Linked DNA regions of Mus musculus: all the other regions are reported to be linked to region 1. Evidence: microRNA targets listed by miRTarBase, many of them from high-throughput screens and not tested one by one. Region 1 holds a microRNA gene; each other region holds the end of a gene's coding sequence.

Region 1 (5,073 bases):
ACAAATATATATGTGAGGAACAGAGGTCCTGAGAGAAGAAAAGGTAGTTTCCCAAGGCCACACAGAAAACCTGTACTACAACTCAGTCTAAGCCCAGGACAGTGTCCTTTTTCTTCTGCTTTAGGAGGACTGAGATACCAAGAAATAATGGGTATCCTGCAACTGAGGCAGGTGACTCTCCTTATATTGAAAAAAATCTGGATATTAAGACATGGTCCTGAGTACTTCTTTATCACCAAATATATTTTCTGATATGTGGCTTATTCTGGACATTTATAGATTTTTGGTAAAATCTTATACCTCTTTTACCAAGCTTATGCCTTTCAATTTGCGTCATGAAGACTGACTATGTAGTCATCTATGTCTTCATTCTTATGGGTCTGACTAACTTTAATCAACTAAACTTGCTTCTCTTATATGTATTCCTCTGAATAGGTGTGAACTGGAACATCAAGAATGAAAATGAAATAGTCCCTTACCCAGCTTAAGGACTGACTTCTCCATCAATCCTGGAAAACAGTATTTATAATAATCTATTAAGTCAGTGCACTAGAACTCTTTAGCCCCTTTCATGGCTCTTTTCCAGTGTTCTTGGGTTATGTGAGGTCGGATAGGGCAATTGAGAGGCTATGGATATCTCTAAAGTGTCTAGCTCTCCTTACAGCAGATGATAAGCAGAGATGCTGTCAAGAAAACCAAAACCAATAACCCATTACTCCTTTCTCTTTTAATCACTTTCCTTGGCTTTTACTAGCTCCAGAGTTGGAAATAAGGTCTCTTTAAGCTCCCTTCTAAAAAGCTCTAGAAGTCTCATCCAACATTTTTCAAGACCTTGAGATGTAAGATTTCTGTCTCTATTTCTAGAGAAGACAATTGATGCCCAAGAAAACTTTAAACCTGGGTAGGACAAAATTTGATACTATCAAGCATTTTGAATAACAGGATCATGATGCTAAACAAAATATCAAATAAATTGAGATGGCTTGGCTCTTCTGGCAGCTGCCCTGGTAGCTATGAGTTCAAACATCTTAATACTTCCCTGCAAAATCCACTGCCTGTTTTGCTCTTTGTTGCTGTTGCTCTCCCTTTTGCAAGGGAATATAAAAAGCAGACAAGAAAAAGTGGTGGGGTGGACAGCCAAGGGACACAATGAGCTGATGGATGATATAATTCCCAAACTGTAAACAACTTGTTTTATGACCTTTTGGAAGTCTTTCCCTAAACATCAGACTTCATTTTCTCATTTATAATCTTGAATGGGTAAAACTAGATGACTTATAAGGGCATTTTAATATCATTAATTCTTTACTGCTTATGAGAAAAGGCAACCAAGTTAGACAAAGCCGGCTAAGGCCACAAGAAATTACTGTTTCAATTCTGTTAAATAAATTATCTATCTTTTCCCCTGTTAGTATCTATCTTATATGTTTAATTTTAAAGCACATTTTAGTCACTTTTATTTATGTACAGGGGATCAAATACAGAGTATTGTACAAGTTAGGTAAGTGTTCTGCTACTGAGTTTTATCTCTAGATCTTGATTGTTTACTTTTTTGTTTGAGAAAGGGTAGTATTATATAGCCCAAATTGACTTTAAATCTGAGGTTCTCCTATCTCTGTCTATGAAAGCTTGTATGCACACATGTACTATCATACCTGGCTATAGCCACAATTTTTGAGTATTTGTTAGGTAACAAACACTAAATTAATGGCTTTATATGCATTATTACATATTCTTGCCATGATTTCATGGGCATTTTTGTGGCTATGGAAGAAGTAGGTTTCAGGGACATAAACTCATTTATTTAAGGTGTTCAGCTAGTTAATGGTAGAGGTAGAATTCAAATCCAGTTTTAAAAATCAACATCTAGGTACATAACCAGGGTAAACAGAGCATACAAGAAGTTGATAGGAGGAAGGAACACATAAATTGTCCCCGAGGACAGAATGATGACAATTTTTTCCTGTTTCAGCTGAATAGAAGAGTTAATTGAGGCTTGGGCCACCAGAATCTCCAGACAAACACCCAGGATCCCCGTTTTTGTTTGGAGCATTAGCGTGTTTTGTTCACTTCCCTCTTTTGGTGTGTCTTAGTCAGTCATGTTAGTGTCTGCCATTTGTCTCACACTTAGGGTAAGATATAATCACCCTATTTTTTTCTCTTTCCAGTTGCACATCTTCCAGCATGTTCTTGCTGCCCAGTGGAGGTTCCTGATCTGGCCATCTGCAGTGTCACGCTCCGTGTATTTGACAAGCTGAGTTGGACACTCTGTGTGGTAGAGTGTCAGTTTGTCAAATACCCCAAGTGTGGCTCATGCCTATCAGCTCCAGGTCCAGGACAGAGCACATAGCCTGCTGCCTACATATGAATGCTTATGAAACATGAAGCTCTCTGGTGTTATTCTATGTCTTTAAGGGAACTATAACATTTATTCAGAGAACATCAGAGTAGGAACGATGCAGCTCTGGGGTCTACAAGTCTGGTATGCATCTGTGTACATTGTGAAAATGCCATGGACTGCATAGTGGTACATGAGGGATACAGGGAATGAGAGTATTATTTGATTTATTATTAATGTCTTCTTTCACTTTCCTCTTCTTGCAGCCAGAATAGCAGAATTTTCATACAAGCATCATGAATTCTATGAGAAAGTAGGAAATAAATATCCACTGTCTGGCCTTCGGAGCACATCTTAAGCTACCTACATTTTCTCTTTTCCACTTTGCTTTTATCATTCTTAAAAGAACCTTCTTGTTTATCTTCATTGGGCTTTCAGACACTACCAAATTCCAATTCCTCTTGGCACTATTGAAAGTTAACCTATACTTTTCTTTACTCCTTGGCTAACCACATACTGGTATGTGCTATTATATGTCCTACCATCCAACACATCTTCTAAAGTTGTCAGTGAATTTTTCCAGGGTATGTTCTTGAATTCCCTATTATATTGTAAGAATCTAGAGCTTATTATATTCAGTTGATTGCTGTCTCTCATACCATTGTCCAACATTTTAATTATTAATAAATATTTACCAATTAATTGATGTTTTACTAGTCAATAACCTTTTGCTATATAGGTCAAATACCAACCAGGGTTTTGCGAAAAAAATAAATCAAACTGTGGGTATTCTAATGCTATAGTGTATACAAGATGGTAACCAAAATGGATTTTTTTTTCCTCTGAGAAATAAGATTTAGGTCTGGGGCAGGAGGGCAAGAAGAAAGAATAGACTCAGAGGGAAAAATTTTTTGAATTATTGGTTTACACGTGTCTTTTTAAACAGAATTTTCTGAGCCTTTAATATTCTATCATTGCACTGGGGTGAACTTCTAATATAGAACTATAAAATGAAGCATCTCCAATCCCTCTCTCCAGAGTCTAACATTTCATAACATATATTTTGGCAAGCTTCTTTAGAGAAATTCCATACTCTCCCTTGGTTCTGGAGAAATTCCATACTCTCCCTTGGTTCTGGAGATACCTACTTTCATTCTTTAACTTTTCACCCACTAACCAGTGACCTAAATAACAAGACCCATATTGTTACCCCAATTTTGCTCAGAATTGTCGGAGGGATGCATCTCTATCTAGGGATGACTTACTGGCTTACCCTGCATGGAAAAATACCATTGTTTAGGGACAAAGACCATCTTCAGAAGATGTCTGCAGCAAAGTACACACACTGCTAAAAATCCACAGGTCTAACCTCCAGTCTTTGTTCTGCCATTGACTTGATGTATGTTACTTTTGACAAACCTTCATTTCTCTCTGGGCTTCACTTCCCAATTTGTGGTATGTGAATGTTCAGATAAGTAATCTGTAAACATTTTCACATGCAAGAATAGGAGACATTCCTGGTGGTTCCAGTGTTGGGGGTTCCCTGAATTTGTGGCTCACTTTACTAGGGCAATTTCAATAAACATTCTCTCTTCAAGCCCAGGGATTAATTCTAAAGAGCAGAATGAGATAAAGGGTGTTTTCAAGGCTTTCAGGGCTGGACTCACAGATGTTTCATGAAGGAAGCTGAGGTTTCTACTGGGTGGTACCCAGGTTGTGGAGGCTGGTAAGTGAGATGGAGAAGAAGAAGTCATCTCTGACACTAATTATGCATAGCTAGCATTTGTCAAAGAAGAAAATGCTGAGATTTTGGTCATAGACTTGGCAGCATCAGTGGGGGTAAAATAGGGCAGACTGTCAATCACTTTTGTGTACTATTTTGACTTTTGCAGTCATTTCAAAGTGGGAGTACCTCTTGTTGAAACCTGATCTGATCCTGTGCATATGCAGACTACATAGGCAACATGGTAGTTCCCATGAAAATTTAGGAAGTTGATTCGACATGAAATAAATGGGGGGAAAGGAAGCAATGCAAACGTGGCCCCAAACAATTTCTTTACAAGGGAGTTTCATTCCAAAGTACATAGAGTTCCTTCTTTCCTTTCCCCTACCCTCCTGTTCCCTACACTTTTCTTCATTCCCCCCACCCCGTTCCATCAATTAAGAAATAATCTCTTACTCTTCCCATTTATATGCATAAAGCTTTAAAAAACATTGAAACCCATCTTACCACTTTCTCAAATAAACCAACCTATATTAATAAAATTTTAAAAAAGTCTCTTCACATTATAAAAAGAATTGAGGAGAAAAGATGACCAATGCAACTAGTCCAGATATTTTAGTGATATTATACACAGACTTTGAAAAGACAGAAACTACTTTATTTGTACATTCATAGTACGTTGATAAAGATGTGAGGCTTCTTGACAATCTTCCTGTTGCCCCGAGAAGAGTCACAAAGTAGAGAAGATAGAAAGATGGACTGGGTAGTGGATGTTATGTAGAATACTATTTAAGCAAAAATTGATTTGCTTTAGATAGGGCTATCCATATTATGAGAAGGGAGGTGGCATGAGTTGGAAGGTGAAAGACAAACCAAGAAACAAACAGACAACAAAAACCAAAGCTTGGATTAGAGTTACAGGCCTATCATTCCAATTACTTGGGAGACTAAGGCAGGTGGCAAGTTCAAAGCCTACCTAATTTAGAGAGTGAAATAAAGGCAAGCCTGGCTA
Region 2 (5,073 bases), not on the chromosome of region 1:
TGGTTTGGTTTGGTTTGGTTGTTTTTTAAAGGCGAGAGATTTATTCAGTGTGACCGCAGTGGGAACGGGTGGGCAAACCTGGCTTGTTGGGATACAGACTGTAACCGCAAGTCAGTAAGAGCCTGCTTTACACTAGTCACTCCCAGAATATGGAACGAACTGATAGCTTGTTTTGTGGTCTTCTTTCATGTTTAGCCCTATGTGTGCCTGATGCCAGAGTTTTAAGGGGAGACTGCCGTCATGCTGTCTGCAGACTTAGGAATATTCAGACAAACAAATGTGCTAAGTTGTACTTTAACGTTTGTGTACATCCGAGGTTCACCTGGAGTGTGGCTGGGAAGGTCCAGGGATAATGGCGCTTATAATGCAGTTAAGCACTCTGCTGTGCTCCCTGCAGGTGCTGCGTGAAGGCCCTTACCCCGGCATTCCTGGTCTGTGTAGGATCCTCGCCTTTCTGTAGGAATTACCTCCAGGGGAAGAAGGTGCACAGGTAACATGGGAGCCAGACCCTGGGGTCTCTTCCCTCAACTTCCTCTGCTGGACTTTGTACACGGGAATCATCTGGCCTAGAGTGTAGCACTCTATCCTCAGGGACAGTGGTTCCCAGCCTCTTGTTGGGGAAGAAGCTGCAGGACCCCCTGAACCTAAGCCTGTCTGGCTGAGTGCTGGGCTCCAGCTGGGCCGCACTCTCCTCAGATTCACAGCCCTGCCCTGGCCAGTACATCTTTGGAGTCCATCTCTGAAAAAATCATCCACTGCAGTTACCAGAATAGCTGGCCTTGGTAACTCCCTAGCCCAGAGACTGTCGCAGGATGCAGTGACAGTCTTAACCTTTGTGGCATCGGGCACATACAGAAGGCACAACTCCAAGGCAATAAACCAGCCCTGCACATACTCTAAGGCCTTAAGGCTTGAAAGACTGGCTCAGTTGCTTCACCAGCCTGGAGGAAAGCTAAGATGCTGTGGATGCCATGAAGTGACTGCAGCCATGAAGCCACATCCTGTTCTGTTGACTGTATAAACTTGGATCCTGGGACTACTCAGAGCCCTACTGGATTCTCTACTTCTCAATGCCCATGCAAGGGCTTGTGCCACATCTGACAGAAGCTTGAGGAGTCAATGGGCAGTGGTTTGCAAGTAGGCTTGTGTTGTTTTCCCTTTATTGTGAGGTCTCATTTCTGAAATAGGAGTAGTCCTGGTGTCTGAGCAAAGCCCACAGCAGCTGGCCTAAAGCCATTGTTTGTTACATGAGTGGCAAATGTGTTTGTAGTAAACACTTGAGATTTGGGGGATTGTTCGTCAATATAGGAAAACTGACTAATACATTATTAAACTGAAACCAGCTGGTGGCCTTCAGATGGGCTAATATGAGATCTTGTGTTGTTTGTGTCCTTGTTTCTTGAAGAGAAATTGTTTGAAATATTTAGGGAGACAAGTGCAGCTTTCTTTACCAGAGCAGGTCCCTGTAAATCCACTAAACCCTACCCCCAACACACACACACACACACACACACACACACACACACACACACACGTTTTGGAAATACTGCAGACATTCTCTCCTCAGTCAGAGACTTTCCTCTGACTTCCTTTTTAAGAACTCAAAGTCTATGTGAGGGGCCTAAAAGTGTCTCTGTTCTGTGGGTGTGGTCTTAAGACCCTCATCCTAGCTGCGTGGAAGTCAGTCTTCCACTAGCAACCTTCAAATGAAGATGTAGAACTCTCAGCTCTGCGTGCACCATGCTTGCCTGGATGCTGCCATGTTCCTGCCTTGACGTTAATGGACTGAACCTGTAAGCCAGCCAATTAAATTTTGTCCTTATAGGAGTTGCCTTGGTCATGGTGTCTGTTCACAGCAGTAAAACCCTAACTAAGACAACACACTTCCTCCAACAAGGCCATCACCTCCTAATCCTTCCCAAACAGTTCTATCACCTGCAGACTAAACACTGAAATATCTGAGTCTGTGGTGACCATTCTCATTCAGACTACCTCAGGGAGAGCATGCACCAAGAGCTCCATTGGTAGGCTTGAGCCAGGTCTGCTGCTTAAAGCTCCTGTCAACTGTAAAATGATCATCTTTCCTTGACATTGCTTGTAGCCCGTGCATGTGAGGTCTCAGCCCAGGAGTGGTATGTCCTCAGTGAACAGCTCTCTTCAAAAGCACTGTTTCACAGTCTGGTAGATTCACAAGTGGGTGATTCTGCATGACATCATTCAGATGACATCATAACCTGGTGTGTGCTGCTGGCATTAGGAAGGTTGAGACCAGACCAGACATACCTTTTAATTTCCTATGATGCATGCCACAAAGAGAATGATGATCTAGCCCAAATTGCCAGTGATAGACATGGAGAGATGTTCACTAAACCAGAAAGAAAAAAACAATTTTTTGGAAACAAAGTTTCTGTACACTCTGAAGAGTGTGGTGGAAATCTGTGAAGAGCCTGCTTCCTGAGCAAGATGTGGGCCAGATTCTACCTGGTTCCCCTTTGGCCACCATACCCATAGACTGGGAAATAGAGCGGGAGACTCAAGCCTTCCCTGCCTGTTTTGTTTTTGTTTTCTTGTTATGTGGAGGGGGAGAGTTACGGGGATGGACGCCCTCCAGAGGAGGTGGAATGCAGGGAACGGTACATGTTCCCAAATCTGAGCCTTTCTCAGTTGTTCCTGGGACTCTTCCTGGCAGAGCCCTCAGGGCTTGCTGCCTTCCCAGAACCAGGGTGGAGGAAGGATGCCTGGTGTATGTCTGGTTGCCTCTGAGGATGTGGGTGACAACTAGAGATGAGAGGGACAAAGCCCCTAATCACCGTCAGCAGGCACACAAAGTAGGCCAAATGCTGCATTCTGATACTACCAACTTCACTGAGTTCTCTTACTTAATCCTTATAGTCACCCCAGATCTGGCCTGTGGCATCAGGATGGAGAAGAAGCAGTGTCAGAGCCCAGATCGGAACCACACGTCCCCTCCCCAGCACCCATAGACTGGGAAATAGAGCGGGAGACTCAAGCCTTCCCTGCATCCTTGTGTTTCCATGCCTTACAAGCATCTGTCCCGTGCCCACAGTGGACTTAGGGCTGAAGAACTACATGCAGCCTCTGACTTAGGGTCATACTGCTCAGTGGATGTAGTGAATCTGACCCTGGGCTGGCAACTGCTCCAAGGGGGAGAAACAGACACAACAAGCAAGCATGTTCTCATCCTTAGCCGGAGCCCTGAGGCCTCCACTCCCTCAGCACGCCTGGTGTGGCATGCAAGGCTCTCACCACCGGACATCTTGCTGCTTTCCTGCTGTCTCCAAAGCCTGTCTGTCCCGGTCATAGTTAGTTACATAGCAGGTGGTGTGGTAACCAGGAGTCTGCTCCTCTGAGCTAGGCTGCCTTCTAGTTCCAGTCCCACGCTCCCCATTGGTAGGCGTTGGGTACCGCTTGGCCTGACTTGTCTGTTCTTCTTCCTTATCTGCTACACGGGCAGGTACTCTGAGGATGGAACACGTTAACCTAGTGAAACCCATGGAACACAACTTATAGCACGGATTTGATCTGTGACTGTTGATCCCCCAGCCTTCCCACTCTCAGCCTCAGACATTGACACACTGTTCCTTTTTCCTCTCTAGTGCCCAGCCTGCTGCTGTCCTACTGCCTCCTCCAGGCAGGCCTCCCTGGCTGCTTAGGTCTTTACTCTGTGGCTGTGCACCATCACCATCACTGCCCTTAGCACATGGCACAGCACTAACTTACCGGCTGGGTCATCCGACTTTGTGGACTGCATCTAGGGCCCAAGCTGCACTTTTATATGTGTCAGGCCTGGCACTGCACCTGCTCAGCATCTCAATGAACCACAAGCAGTCATAGGCTTGGGAATTCAGGAAAAGGGTGACTCATTGTGACAGGTCAGAGGTTGAAGCCAGCACCTATGGGAGACTTGGGCTATAAAGGTGAAGGAGTGAGGTGGACAGTCCGAGCAAAGCCACAGACCCTGGAGGGAGGATGCTGCGACAGCAACTACTGCTGCCTGGAGAAAGCAGCCACCTACTGAGCACCCAGCCAGGCCAGCAGCATTCTAGGTGCTTGGTGCCAACTGGCTCCCCAAACCTCCCACACATCTAGGCAACAAGCAATGTATAAAGATGGCATGGAGAGTCTAAACAACCTGCCAATAAAAAGTGGAGCAGGACTTGAACTCAAGACTGAACTGACCCATTCAGAGACAGCAGGACTGCCAAGACTAGTCTGGCCTCTCGGGCACAGGGGCCTTTGCATCACTCAGTCTAAGCTTATGGTATAGTCCTGGTAGTTATTACTCCGTTCAGCAGCAGCATCCCAGCCTGCTTGGCTAGGGGAATGTGCTCTGCCCCAGCCAGAGCCTGCAACCTCTGTCAGCGGGGCTCCCACTGAGTTTTTCTCTTTCATTTTTTTCTTCCATTCTGTCTTCTCCGTTAGCAGTACAGACATATTACCTCACAGTCCTATGGCCACAAATGTAATTTGGCTCAGCTGTTATCTCTGCTCTAGGATTTACAAGGCTGAGGTACAGATGTTGGCCTTCTGGGCTCTTCCTAGGGGTTCTAAGAACCTGCTTCCAGGCTTGTTTAGGCATTGGGAGAATACAGTTCACCGAGGTTGAGAACTGAAGTCCCCTTGCCTTACTGGTCCTCAGTGGGGCTGTATTTAGCTCGGAGGTGGGGAGAGGCTCTTCTGGTTCCTGGGTCTCTGTAAGTAAGAGCCCAATGGCATATCATGTTCTAAGTCCTGAGATTCCCTTGCCACATCTGATTCCAGCCAGTGAAAATTCTCTGCTTTTAGTGTGTGATTAGACTGTAAACATCCAGATAATTCTTTTCTAAGGTATATAGTATTTGCTAAAAATATTTTAAAAATTTAAACGGGCACATAGTAATTGGGTATTCTTAGAGAATGTAGTGTGGCATTTCTGTATCTGTATTCACTGTGTAATGAGAGATCACACATACATCCTCTCTTTATAGCTTGCAAACCCTGAAGATCCCTTCCACGGGCCATTTTACAATAGTCAGTGAAGCGCTGTGAGCCAGAGTTGTCCTCCTGCCTTAC
Region 3 (5,073 bases), not on the chromosome of region 1:
TTGAGGCAGGAGAATTGTGAATATGAGGCCAGTCTGTATTACAGAAAAGCGTGAGCCACGTACTAAGACCTTGTCCAAAAATAAGGAAATAAGACTTCAATTTATCTTACCATTTACAATAAATGAAGTATTGAAATATTTTCTCAAAATGTACTTGATTAATCTCTTTAATTACAAAATAGAAACATTAATTATTGAATGTTTCCATATTTTAAAAAAAATCACAGAATATGGGCCCTGAATATAGCTCAGTTGGTGTAATGCTCACCTAGCACACACAGAGCTCTGGGATGCACACCTACAATCAAGCTTTGTGATGCATGCCTATAATCCCATCACTTGAGAGGTGGAAGGAGAGATTCAGAAGTTCACGGTTATCCTTAGGTACATCGTTTGAAGCTAGCTTAGGCCATCTGAGACCCTGTCTCTATAAAGCAAGCAATAAGAAAAAAAAAAGTTATAGAATGTTTGTTATAATTTTGTTTTTATAGCTTTGCAAAAAACTTGGAGGCTCGTGTGTTACAGCTCTGGATGGTTACTATGTGGAATCCATTATCTGTGTTCTCATTGGATTTGGTTGGTGGTTCTTTCTTGGTCCAAAATTTAAAAAGTTACAGGATGAAGGACCATCCTCATGGAAGTGCAAAAGGAACAACTGATGCCAACATTACTGGACATTCTAGAAGGTAACTGTAGCTTAGTGTTACCAAGAAAGCAATGATAATCAGTGTGTAGGAGTGTAAAATACCGTTTTAGGAAATTTTTAATTTAAAATGCCAAATAGTTGAAAAGTACAGATGTATTTGTATGTTTGATTATATTTTCCTTTGCCTTATCAATGTATTGAAAGTTTACTTAAGGCTAGGAAACAACCCTTTTGGTTTTATTACTTGATTTCTGTTAATTTACTGACCAAAGCATATTTTAAGCTGCAGTGGAATAGTCATGGGTGGTCACCATGCTGCCAAGTATTGTTAGTGCCTGTCATTGAGTCGTATTTAACATGTTGGTACAATGTATCAAGTGGAGCAAAGCTTAATATGCAGGTACTCACTAACTAGATTAACCTTATTGGAAGTTAATTCTCACTTTGAATTGTAAATTTGTAAAAATGTATGTGAAATTTGATTGAAAGAAAATGTAGACTACTAAAACATTGAGTTGTTTTTCTGACTATAACCACATTGTACAAATGAATCTGTTAAAAATAACTATTTTAAATGTACTTTCTGCTTTTGTAAGCATGAAAGATTTATAAAAAGATTATCCAAACTATTTTTTTATAAAATGAGAGCTATGGTTTTTAATTTATTGATTTCCCTATCTCTCCCTCCCTTTGGGGGAAGCTATTTTGATTTCTTGTTAACTCTTGCCCTAGGTTTACATATGATTTTGTCACAAATACATCATGACACACAGACAACTAATGAGGGGATCAAGTTTGTGGTGTGTTTGTGATTATGACTGAGTTGTAAAAATAAAAATTTAATGTCATTCTTACTGTAGTTTTTTTTAATTACCATGAGAAGAAAATGTAAACTTATAATTAAATAAAATTTAAATGAGTAACACTATAAATCTCAAAGCTGTTTTTTTAAAAAGAGAGATTTGTGTGTGTGTTTGCCTTTAACAAATTAAATCACTCTGTGGGAGATTATTTCTTAATTTTTTTCCTTAATCTTAACTAAGCATTTTATTAGTAAAAAATTCTTATAATTACTTTATGCCAAATCACGAACAATATTCCTGTTTCTTAAAACACAGGCTTTCATCTGTAAAGAATAAGGCTCAGTTGAGACTTGCTAGACTGGGAGAATTAGAAGCAAGTACAACAGCAGTTTCCAGCATGCTATATCCTCTACATGCTATCAAGGCTTTGAGACAGGGCTTAACTGTACAGCTCTGACTTTCCTGGAACACTCTGTAAACCAGACTGGTCTCAAACTCACACTCACCTAACTTTGTGTGCTGAGATTAAAAGTGCACATCACTAATCCAGACATTTTTTTAATAAAATGTCTCTATGAATTTCATCAAAATGTATGGTGAATATATGGGCTATATACCATCTTGTCTCAAAAGGAAAACAAGGAGGTGAGCTGGGCACGGTGGTATGTTTTAGTCCCAGCACTCAGGAAGGAAAGGCAGGCTTTCGGCATAGTAGAACCTGTGCTGAAGGAGAGGCCTGGGAAGCTGGATGACTCAGGAAATGTGAGAAACTGGGCAGATTGTGTAAATCACTAGGGAGGTGAGGTGTTGCTTCTGCCATCACTGTGACACATTTCCTGGCAAGAGTCCAAGGGAGGAGAGAGTTTTTTGCTTTGCTGTTTTGAAAAAATATTAGTCCATCACAGTTGGGATACATGGCAGGATGTCTGAGCCTTGCTTTAGGAACCATAGTTCCTTGTTGAGAAGACAGAAGACAGGAAGGAGAAAGTTCATGATGGGTCAGTACCAGGAACAGGAAAACTCTCAGGTCTTAGTGACTCATTTTGACCAGCCACATTTTACCTCTTAAAGCTTCTGTGGCATGCAAAATAGCACCACAAGCAGGGGGCCAACACAAGAACAGCCTAAAAGAGATATTCCAGATTCACACTACAATAGGATTCATAACAAAGTACCAACACTGGGTAGCTTGAGAGAAATTTGTTTACTTTCATTCCAGAGGCTGAAAATCCAAGATTAATGTATTGGCAGAAGTTTCTCCTGAGGTCTTTAGTTGAGAGTAGTTGAGAGTCACTCTCCCAATGTGTCTCCACACAGCCTTCTTCCACTATATGCAGTAATCCTGGTTTTTCTTCCTCTTGGATTGGTTCTGAGTGGTCAAGGCTTATCCTTATTCTCCCTACCCCCTTAAACTTAGCTTCTTAAAAGCCCTATTTCTAAATGCAGTGATAATGACGGTTAGGACTTCAGTTTTTTTCAGATTTTGACAGGACACTCAACTCAGTCCCAAAGAGGATTTATTGTATATAAACATTTCAAAGGAAGATGGCACCTGGTGCCATGGAGGCATCTTGATTTTGCAAATCTGATGAAATAGAATTTTGTCTACTTTCTAGAAACAAATATTTTAAAGCCCAAAAGCCTCCCATAGTGCCAAGGACCAGCCTGTCTTGGAGAGTGGTTCTGAGAGAAGGGGTGTTTGAGAGAGGCAAAACAAATGACCTGAAGTCAAAATGTGGGTCCAAGCTGACAGCCTGTGTTCTGCTGGAGATAGTTTTCTGGATTGCCCTCTGTGTTCTGCTTGTGGTTTCTCTCTCTCTCTCTCTCTCTCTCTCTCTCTCTCTCTCTCTCTCTCTCTCTTTCTCTCTCTCTCTCTCTCTCTCTCTCTCTTTCTCTCTCTAAATGTGTGTGTGTGTGTGTGTGTGTGTGTGTATAAATATCCAGAAAGCTCTCTGCTCAGGCTTTTTTGAAATTCTAAAAACTCTCTTGTTAGCTCATCTCTTATAAATCAAAAGCCCAGTCTTTTATGTATTAATTCAATTATTATCCATGTTCTTTTTTTATTACCCCCTGAGTCAGTATTCTAGGTCCCCAGCCCCTTGATTCTTAGAGACAGCAAAGAAGAACAGACATAAGTTAGCTGAGTGGGACCCCTCCCGACCCTGCCCTGAAATTGCCATCAAACTATGCCTGGACCTAAATTAGCTCTATCCCAGACTGACCTTACACTTGTGACTTGCACAGTCCACCTGCCTTTGTTACCATAAAATAAATTAGCTAGGTGGGATGTGGCCCAGTGGATTGAACCACCAGACAGAACTGGTAAGGTAGTAGCAAAGTTTAGGACCATGACAAAATTTATAATTGAGAACAGTAGGAGATCAAACTAGCTCCCAACCAGATTTCCTGTCCTGGAGTACGAGGCCATGATACCCCATTAAGAAGACCATGACAACTGGTCAGGTAGCATAGAACTTAGGGTTCTTCATGCTAATGAGGTATCTAGAAGGGAGCCAAGTGTTTACCTACTGAACTCTCTTCCTGAATATTCCTTCCTGCAAAGAGCATTTAATCTCTGTTTCACCCCGAGTAAGTCTTATACATCTTCATCTGCCATGAATAAAGGTACTTTGGACAAGCAAATCCTGTTGTCTTTATCAGGAACTGCTAGGGGACTGGAGTGGGGTGGGGTGGGGTGGGGGGAAGAGATTCTCAACTCTTCATGTTTCTCAGTGGCTTCTGGGTGCTCAGGAACATGAGAACCTCCTCTATTCCAGCCCCCTGCTTGTTTTCACCTGGAAGATCATGGGCTGGGACCCCTATCTTAGACTACATTTTGCCTACCCTGAGCAGTGTGTCAGCAAGTGGTTCAACACCGCAGTGGCAAGGTGGAAATGCAGACCCACAGTGGAATATTGCCTTGCAATCACCATTCCCTAAATCTCTTTATCTCCCACACTTAGTATCCTTTTGACAAGTTGGCTCACAGTGCAGCTGCCTCTGTTCCTTTAGATCTGTGAAACTCCTTATTTAATTTATATTACATCCTTACATTTTGCATAGTTGAGAATGTATGTATTTTCAAACTCATGTTTTCAGCATTCTTTCCCACACCCTTAAAGGCTGCCCTAATGGTCACAGCATTCAACCATTTTGCTGAGATATAGACATGCCCTTGCCTCCTGGACCCATGCTGTCTCTGATTATCATGGAGTCATTAATATCGAAAGAGAGGACATTCCTCAAAGGAGAAATGTGAAAATATGTACACTGTTATACAAACAAGCCTTTAACCCACAGTAGCTATCCACACTTGAGGGGGCCCACACCCTGTTGGCTCTGTTCCAGGGCCAGGAACCATGTCATGCCATCACTTACACATGACCAAGCAGGACTTGGCACCCTAGGATAATCTGTTTTCAACTAAGAACGAAGATTTCTTTTCCTCTCTTTGGAAGAGGTTAGGGCTTCTATACAGCTGCCAAATATAACCCCAGATTCATATTTTGGGACTCTTTACCTATTATCCAAAGTCCAATATATGTAGGTTTTTATCACTCTGACAGATTGGTATGGCTCTTATTGATTACCTGCAGGTGAGAGTTGGCCGTGGTGAACCAATGA

What was found. The annotated mature microRNA mmu-miR-223-3p reads UGUCAGUUUGUCAAAUACCCCA and lies in region 1 at 2,282-2,303, shown strand. An mRNA with a match to its seed (bases 2 to 7 or 8) in the 3' UTR can be bound and repressed. Matches are read on the target gene's strand: a 7mer-m8 pairs with bases 2 to 8, a 7mer-A1 pairs with bases 2 to 7 and ends in A, and an 8mer does both.
Region 2: miRTarBase lists Ttc4 as a target of mmu-miR-223-3p. Seed matches in the 3' UTR shown: 7mer-m8 at 1,312-1,318.
Region 3: the mRNA of Slc33a1 is a reported target of mmu-miR-223-3p. The part of its 3' UTR that is shown has no 7-base or 8-base seed match.

Annotation. Positions count from the first base shown.
Region 1 is chrX:96,240,603-96,245,675 of GRCm38, forward strand. Mir223 (microRNA 223) reads left to right here and starts at 2,215; the gene lies at 2,215-2,324. It overlaps F630028O10Rik (RIKEN cDNA F630028O10 gene), which reads left to right. Exons shown (of 3, transcript NR_030718.1): 3 at 436-3,040.
Region 2 is chr4:106,658,556-106,663,628 of GRCm38, reverse strand. Ttc4 (tetratricopeptide repeat domain 4) reads left to right here. Exons shown (of 10, transcript NM_028209.2): 10 at 398-1,821. The coding sequence ends at 494. Among named protein-coding and RNA genes, the nearest start is that of Pars2, 10 kb to the right of the region's middle.
Region 3 is chr3:63,938,835-63,943,907 of GRCm38, reverse strand. Slc33a1 (solute carrier family 33 (acetyl-CoA transporter), member 1) reads left to right here. Exons shown (of 6, transcript NM_015728.5): 6 at 492-1,585. The coding sequence ends at 659. Among named protein-coding and RNA genes, the nearest start is that of E130311K13Rik, 12 kb to the right of the region's middle.